2 linked regions of the Arabidopsis thaliana genome follow. The protein of the gene in region 1 purifies or fractionates together with the protein of each later gene. This does not show direct contact. Each region holds a gene or a part of one and is shown on either strand. Other genes may lie near its edges.

Region 1 (4,018 bases):
ATAGGAATTACATTTTATGAGTTTGAATCTGATTTAAGTTCAACGGTTGAAGTTTACTCATTCAAATCTGATTCTTGGAAGACGGCTGTTGATAAGACCTCTAATGGTTTATATTGATAACCATAGTCGAGTGTGTGTTTACAAGGAACTCCTTATTGGATAGCTTACAATAAGTCAAATCATAAACCCGTTTCAGTACAGAGTTTTGATTTCTCAAAAGAGAGATTTGAGCCCTTGGTTCGTCCTCCTTTTTATCTTTCGAGTGAGTTATCTTATTTGATGAATAATCTTTCTTTAGGGATTTTCAGAAGAGATCAACTCTCTTTGTTACTTGAATGCGGCTTAACAAGTAACATACACTTATGGGTGAAGAAGAAGAAGAAGAAGCTGCATTGGAGCTGGCTGGTGGCAGTTGCTATAACAGATCGGCTTCCGATATATGGTTGTAGATATTTAAGTTTCTTCAATGAGAAGAATGGTAAGCTTGTGGTATTTATCGAAAGCGGGTATATTAGCATCTACATTGAGGGATATAAGCAAGATTGCCAAAAAGTTGAATACAACACTGATATGGGTCGTACACTCGGTGGTTGCTGTTATGTTCCTAGCTTGCTTTGGCTTCCGGGCTTTTCAGAGGTGGGTATAGGTAGAAGAAGAAGCTGGTTCCAGTATTTGGAATGGCTAGATATGATGCTTTTATTTTTTTGTTTTGGAGAAGAATGTAAATATCATTATAATGAAGAGTTTTGGTCTTACATAAGCTTAACCTGATGGACATTTTCATGAAGCTAACATGGTCCCATGCCAACAAAAGACATTCGAGATTCAATTCATCAGCAAGGCCATGAAGCGATTAGGCTCATCGTTTCCGATATATTGAAAAATGTTACATTCCATTTATATACAACATGTTCAAAAAAATTCAGTAAGAAAATTGATAATTCACCAGCACCAATCCTTAGAGAGATAGCTTCTTAATCTCAACGACAAGATTCTCTTCAAACTATATCCCCTTTCATTTCAATTTTGACAGATGATTTCAGCTAAACTAACCAATCTCAAAAACTTCAAATCCTCATGTCAAATCGAAGATGAATGACTTCTTCTATGTGTACCTTTGTTCACTGAGGCAAAGGCAATGCAGCTTCGACTTCATTCCACAAGTCCACATTTCTGGTAAACTTCTCTTTAACTACCGCAATGAGCTCCTTTGCTTCATCGACCTTTGAACGACTTGCTAGTCCATTAACAAGCCACTTCATGACACTAAAACTCGGAACCCAATTCTTCTCCATACTCTCTCTACAAAGGATCAAAGCTGTCTCAAAGTCCCCTCCTTTACACAAACAATGTATCAAAGTGAAGTAACATTCACTATCAGGCTTGTATCCATTACACACCATAACCTCAAACAAATTCATAGCTTCATCCAAATTCTCCTCACTGCAAAACCCATGAATCAAAAGCGAATACGTCACAGAGTTTGGTCTCATCCTACAAGACATAACCCCATCAATCAACGCCTTTGCTTCTGCAGATTTCTTCCTTTTACACAAACATTGAATCATAATGTTGTATGTAGCTACACCAACATGAACACCAAATTCATCCATCATTCTCATCACTTTCCTCACTTCATCAAACTTCTCCTCCTTGTAAAAACCATCAATCATTAAACCAAAGCTAGCAGCTGTTGGCTTTATCCATTTCCTCTCCATCTCTGCAACAATGGAGTATGATGAACTCGTTGAACCTGATTCACACAAGACTCTAATCATTCTATTGTAAGTTTCGAGATCAGGTTCAATGCCATACATCTTCGGCATTTCGAGGTAGACACGATTCGCTTCTTTGTAATCCTTAGCCATTAAACAAGCGAAAAGAAGAGCATTTAGAGACTTCACCGTCCTTGGGATCTCGTATTGCTCGAGGTTGCGAAATGTTTGTATAGATCGATCAAGCATATTCGCTCTGCCGTATAGGATAATGGCACGGACTGCGAAACTCTCGGATTTTGGATCGGGTTGGTTTTGGATGAAACCGTCGAGAAGCTGCGATACAGCGACGAAGTGTTTCTCTCTCGCTAGTGTCACCACCGCAACGGAGAAGATGATACGGTCGACGTGATAATCAGGTGAGAGTGAAGTGGATCGGCAGATTTCGAGGATTCGATCAGGATTATTCTCGGATTTGAGAAGGGAGAGAGTATCTCGGCTCTTCTTCTGCTTGCTAGTGAGAGATTTTAGTGTGAAGATAGATGAAGAAGAAGACTTCAATCGGAATTGAGTCGCTTTCTGGAGTATAAATTCCGATGTTCGAATGCGGAAGAGGAACGCCATTACTAGGGTTCATGATTTCCCCGAAGAAATGGAGACGACGGCTGAGAGAGAAGAGGTTTAAACCGGTTTAGGGGTTTGACAAAATAAAATTTTTAATTTCAATGGTTTACTTAAATCATATACATAATTCATATCATCCGTTGATTTTATGACTAGTCAGCAACTTGGACGGTTCCGATTGAATCTAGGATATTTTTTAAAAAGTTAAATAAAAAGTTAAGGATCATGTTTAAACCGGGGGTTTGAACCCGACGTGAATCGAACACGCAACCTTCTGATCTGGAGTCAGACGCGCTACCATTGCGCCACGGATCCCTTGTGATTACAAGCACCAAAGGATATTTATATAGTAAAACACATATCGTTTTATTACAAACCGCCGCCTTCTCAAAGGGTTATCAACAATCTCTCATCTTTAGCATTGTTTTGTTATCTTCTTCTTCATCACAATTTTTCTACGGTCAGAGATTCAAAAGAGTTCTTTCTCTCTATCTTATTCTCCGATCATCATGATGCAGCAGCCACCACCCGGAGGTATCCTTCCACATCACGCTCCTCCTCCTTCTGCGCAACAACAGTACGGTTACCAACAACCTTACGGGATTGCTGGAGCTGCTCCACCACCACCACAGATGTGGAATCCTCAAGCGGCGGCGCCGCCATCAGTTCAGCCTACGACCGCTGACGAGATCCGGACTCTTTGGATCGGGGACTTACAGTATTGGATGGATGAGAATTTCCTCTACGGTTGCTTTGCTCATACCGGAGAGGTAATATTCTCAGATCTCTCTGTTTTCGCTTTATCGTTCGCGCTTAATTGTTTGTTCGAAGGAGATTAAGGTTAATTTGATAAGTACTTGTTAGTGTTAATTGTTTCCTCGCTTTTATATTTGAAAGATTTGATTTTGATGTGTAAAAAGATTAACTTTAGATGTTTGAATTTTTTTTAATATGTAATCTCTTTCCGACAATGAGTTAATGAGTGTTCTGTCTAGTTATATAATGACTAGTTGGTTTAACACTATCAGTATTTATTTTGCAGATGGTTTCTGCTAAAGTGATTCGTAACAAGCAAACCGGTCAAGTTGAAGGATACGGTTTCATTGAATTCGCATCTCATGCTGCTGCTGAAAGAGTTCTACAAACATTCAACAACGCTCCTATCCCGAGCTTTCCTGATCAGCTCTTTAGACTGAACTGGGCATCATTGAGTTCAGGAGATAAACGAGACGATTCACCGGACTACACGATATTTGTCGGTGATCTGGCTGCTGATGTTACGGATTATATCTTACTTGAGACGTTCAGAGCCTCTTATCCGTCAGTGAAGGGTGCAAAGGTTGTTATTGACAGAGTCACTGGACGTACAAAAGGATATGGGTTTGTTAGGTTTTCTGATGAAAGTGAACAGATCCGTGCTATGACGGAGATGAATGGCGTTCCTTGTTCTACTAGACCTATGAGAATTGGTCCCGCTGCTAGCAAGAAAGGTGTAACTGGTCAAAGAGGTAAAGTAAAGTATATGTCACATTAGAACTGATTTGATCTTGCATTCTCTTGATTTGTGTGTTGTAGTATCTATGTGATTAGGTTGCCTTAAGTAAGAACTAGTTAACTGCCTTGTGCTAAGTATGACTCCATTACTTTTTCTAAAGCCGCATCCTACATTTACCGCTGAG
Region 2 (3,889 bases), 5.3 Mb from region 1:
GATGTGAATTCTCTGGTGGAAGATGCGGTTTCAGGTAAAGTTATGGGGAAGAACAAAGAGTATTACGGTGTAGGGCTATGGACTTTAGCTTCATTCATCAACCACTCGTGTATCCCTAACGCAAGACGTCTTCACGTTGGAGACTACGTGATTGTTCATGCCTCGAGAGATATCAAAACAGGGGAAGAGATTAGCTTTGCTTACTTTGATGTGCTTTCTCCATTGGAAAAACGGAAAGAGATGGCTGAGTCATGGGGGTTTTGTTGCGGATGCAGTAGATGCAAGTTTGAGAGTGTCTTGTATGCTACCAACCAGGAGGTTAGAGAGTTTGAAATGGGTTTAGAGAGAGGCGTAGATGCAGGGAACGCGGTTTATATGGTGGAGGAAGGGATGAAGAGATGGAAGGTAAAAGGGAAAGATAAAGGGTTGCTGAGAGCATCTTATTGGGGAGTTTATGATGAGATTTATAACTCAGAGAGACTTATGAAAAGGTGGGGAAGGAAGATACCAACAATGGAAGTTGTGGTGGATAGTGTCTCTGATGTTGTTGGAAGTGATGAGAGATTGATGAAGATGGCTGTGGAAGGGATGATGAAGAAGCATGGAGGTTTCAGTAACATTGTGGAGATGGAGAAAATCATGAAGCTAGGGAAGGGGGTTTATGGCAAAGTGGTATCGAAAAAGAAGGCAATGAAGACTCTTCTTGGCATAGAGTAACAAGTTACAAATGTTGAAACTAATTGCTTGTAGGATCAATAGAGAGAGTAACCATTTTGGTTTTCTGTAATTCCTTGCCTCATGGAAGGAAACATCCAATGATATTATTACAAAGACATTCAAATGGAAATAACACTTGTTTTGTTGCAAAACATTTGTAGTCAAAGAATGTCATATATGAAAAAAGCCAGTTCTACAAAGAAATTGGATGAGTAGTGTGCATAAAAAGAAAACGATGATTTTGAGTAATTTATTCGTCGATCCAATTATCCTGATTAGCACTTCCTCCGGTTCTGTCTTGCAGCAACACATCTTTCTCATTTTTCAACTGGTTAACTAGCCTGCGGACGCTAGGAGTCTGGAAGCGATCCTTAGCGGATGTCTTCGATTGAGTTATTAACCCTTTCTTGGCACTAGGATACGGTTTAGGAGGTGGATCCTTATCTTGCATTACCGCAAGCTCCTTTAAGCGTTTGTATGCTTTCTTCATTTCCTTTCTCTCTGAAAGATATTCCATCTGAAAAATCATCAAAACACAAACTCAGCAAGTTCGAAGAATAACATCTCCCATGTTCAAAGAAACGGCATCAACAGCAGCGGTACTACGATTCATATCTATTCAAGTATCGTAGCTAATCATAGACTGTGAAAAGAAAATACGTACATTAGCTACAGACATGGCGTCACCCTCACTGATGCCATGCTCCTTCAATTCAAGTACCCGGCAACCATACACACGTGCTTGATCTGGAATAAATGCTGATATCCTAGGTAATTGAAGATGATGCAATGAGAGGGAGATAGATACAGAATGAAAAATGGTGAAACTCTCCCATTGAATCAGAATTTAAGAGTGACACGTGCTTATAGTAATGGGTTCAAGACAAAATTGTTTGAAATTAAACTTCTTTCTATAGTGATGCATATCAGAATAAGCTTTATGAAGAACTAACTCATAACATAATCATCAAACTATCTTTGATACAAATGCAGAGATATAAAAAGTTGAGAATTTTACTTGGCAGGGTCATCAATTTTGGTTCCAGGATGCTTATTAGCGAATTTACGAACGTAAGGATCCTCAGGGAGAACAATCTTCTGGATTTTTCCATTGGAGCGAGGAAACACAGGAGGTGGTGATCTGCCATTAAAACCAAATCACAGAACACTCATTTCAACAAAACCCTCAAAATCCTAATTCACAGATGCCAAAATCTCAACTTTTTGTGCGATTAGAATTCAATTGCATCCGAATTAGAAACCCATTAACGGATGATTCAATAAGGAAGTATCAAATTGATCAATCGAGCCAAATCATTTGGAGAAATAGAAATGGGAGAAGAGAGGGTTACGCTTCCATGGCTTTAAGCCAAACAGGCTCTCGTGTAGCTAAGCCACCAACAAGCCTCCTGGTTTTGGAAAGTAAATCACCTTTCATCCACGACATTGTTGCTGAGCTTCTTCACTTTTCTTCTTCGCTTGATCTGTTATTGTTTTACCAGAGACGACGAAGACACAAGGGTTTCAGAAATGGCTCGATTTGATAAAACCTCATGGTTCATGAATTAAACCGGGTACATCACACTCTAAATTACGGTCTAAAATCGGTTAACAGAGCAATTGTATGGTTCGTATGTCAAAACGCAGCCGTTTCGTAAATACATTTGCCTTGATAAATTTTCACCTCTTTTGGGTTTCTTCTACTAGTCTTCACTTCCGTCAGCTATAGCTTTGGAGAAACTGCATCAATGGCGTTGAGATTGACATCGCTAAAACGCGCCGCGGTTGAGTCCTGTCGCATTTTGGAAACCCGAAGCTTAAGTCATGTCGCTGCGATGCCTTCCCCCTTGAACGGAGCTTTTGATCGCCCGATTTCTATGCCGCCGCTGGTTTTACCTGAGTTCGATCAGAATCAACCGGGTTTGATCGAAGAAAAGAGCTTCGGGTTCGGGCTTCCTAGTTTTGCTTTTAATGGATCCATGGAGCTAATGGCTGTGCCTAAGAAGAAGGTCAAAGAACTCTCAGTCCCTTAATTAGTTTTCTCCTTTCGTTTTCCACTTCTGAAATGATAAAATTTCTTAGGGTTTTGATTTATTGTGGTATCTAGGGTTAGCTTTTTTGACGGAGTCAGGGTTTATCTAGGGTTTTAGGAAGGTGCACTATAGGACTTATTAGTTGATTATGCAATTGAGATACTAAGTGCTAGATTGCTTCTTCTATAGAATCTATCTAAGAAATGTTGTCTCTTTGTGTGTTTTTGAGTGTCCATTGTTTTTCCATTTGCTTGTGTATCTTTGGGTTTAAGTTGATTTGGTTCCTTACTTCCTTTAGGTTCACATGTGAATGAAAATGTGTAATTTTTAATGGCTCCTTGGAGAATGATAGTGTTAATTGAAGCTGTTCTTGATGAAACATGCAGATTTCTAAACACAAGAGAGGGATAAGAAATGGTCCAAAGGCTCTTAAGCCTGTTCCTGTGATCATCCGTTGCAGGTAAGAGATTAGCTTCTCTTCTTTTTCTTTTTTTTTTTGTCCGCAGATTAGCTTCTCTTCTTGTTTTATCTGTTTGATGCTTCTTAATATATCCATTAGGTTGAGTTTGGTATGGGTGTTTAGTTTTGAGGCTGTGATAGAAAAATTCTGTTAGGTTTATCTAGGTTGTTGTTGCTGCAGCAACAGCTGAAGAATAAATGCATATGCTTTGTGATTCATTGTCTCTCCTAACTATCACTTGGTATAAACTGCACTTGAGTAACTAGAACTGTGTATCGTTAACATGTTTGACGAAAGACCTACTTGTGTGCAACATGGTACAAAATATGAGTCTAGTTGTTCGGTTTTGGTATATGTTTGATTTAAAACTTCTTTTGTTTTCATGATCTCATTGTGAGGGCACTTGTATCAGAATTTTATATATGCCGCCAGTTTAAGTGCACACTCTTTTGTGTTTCCAGGAGTTGCGGGCGAGTCAAGCTGCCACATTTCTTCTGTTGCAGCGGTGAGCGGCTAAACCCTACTGAGTAAGGCAATTCGAACAACTGGTCATGGTTTCCAATATGATTACTCCTTGTTGGATATCAAGAGGATAAAATCTTGGCTTTCTTAGTAGTACACTAGAATGATAAAAGACTTAGTTGATGCTGTTTTGGCAAATTATTGTATGCTGCAAGAT

Evidence for each region. The genes of interacting proteins can lie anywhere in the genome.
Region 2: the proteins of AT1G11630 (region 1) and AT1G26750 fractionate together in Arabidopsis thaliana (co-fractionation; one large-scale study listed by BioGRID). This does not show direct contact.

Annotation. Positions count from the first base shown.
Region 1 is NC_003070.9:3,912,047-3,916,064, forward strand, and holds AT1G11630 (Tetratricopeptide repeat (TPR)-like superfamily protein), read right to left. Parts: upstream 2,420-4,018; 5' UTR 2,340-2,419; coding exon 1,122-2,339; 3' UTR 708-1,121; downstream 1-707. Other genes in the region: RBP45B (RNA-binding (RRM/RBD/RNP motifs) family protein), read left to right, coding at 2,849-3,109, 3,382-3,847.
Region 2 is NC_003070.9:9,245,132-9,249,020, reverse strand, and holds AT1G26750 (uncharacterized protein), read right to left. Parts: upstream 2,165-3,889; coding exon 2,070-2,164; intron 1,859-2,069; coding exon 1,736-1,858; exon of another isoform or gene 1,485-1,735; coding exon 1,382-1,484; intron 1,235-1,381; coding exon 968-1,234; 3' UTR 747-967; downstream 1-746. Other genes in the region: SDG35 (SET domain protein 35), read left to right, coding at 1-717; AT1G26740 (Ribosomal L32p protein family), read left to right, coding at 2,466-2,726, 3,137-3,210, 3,672-3,741.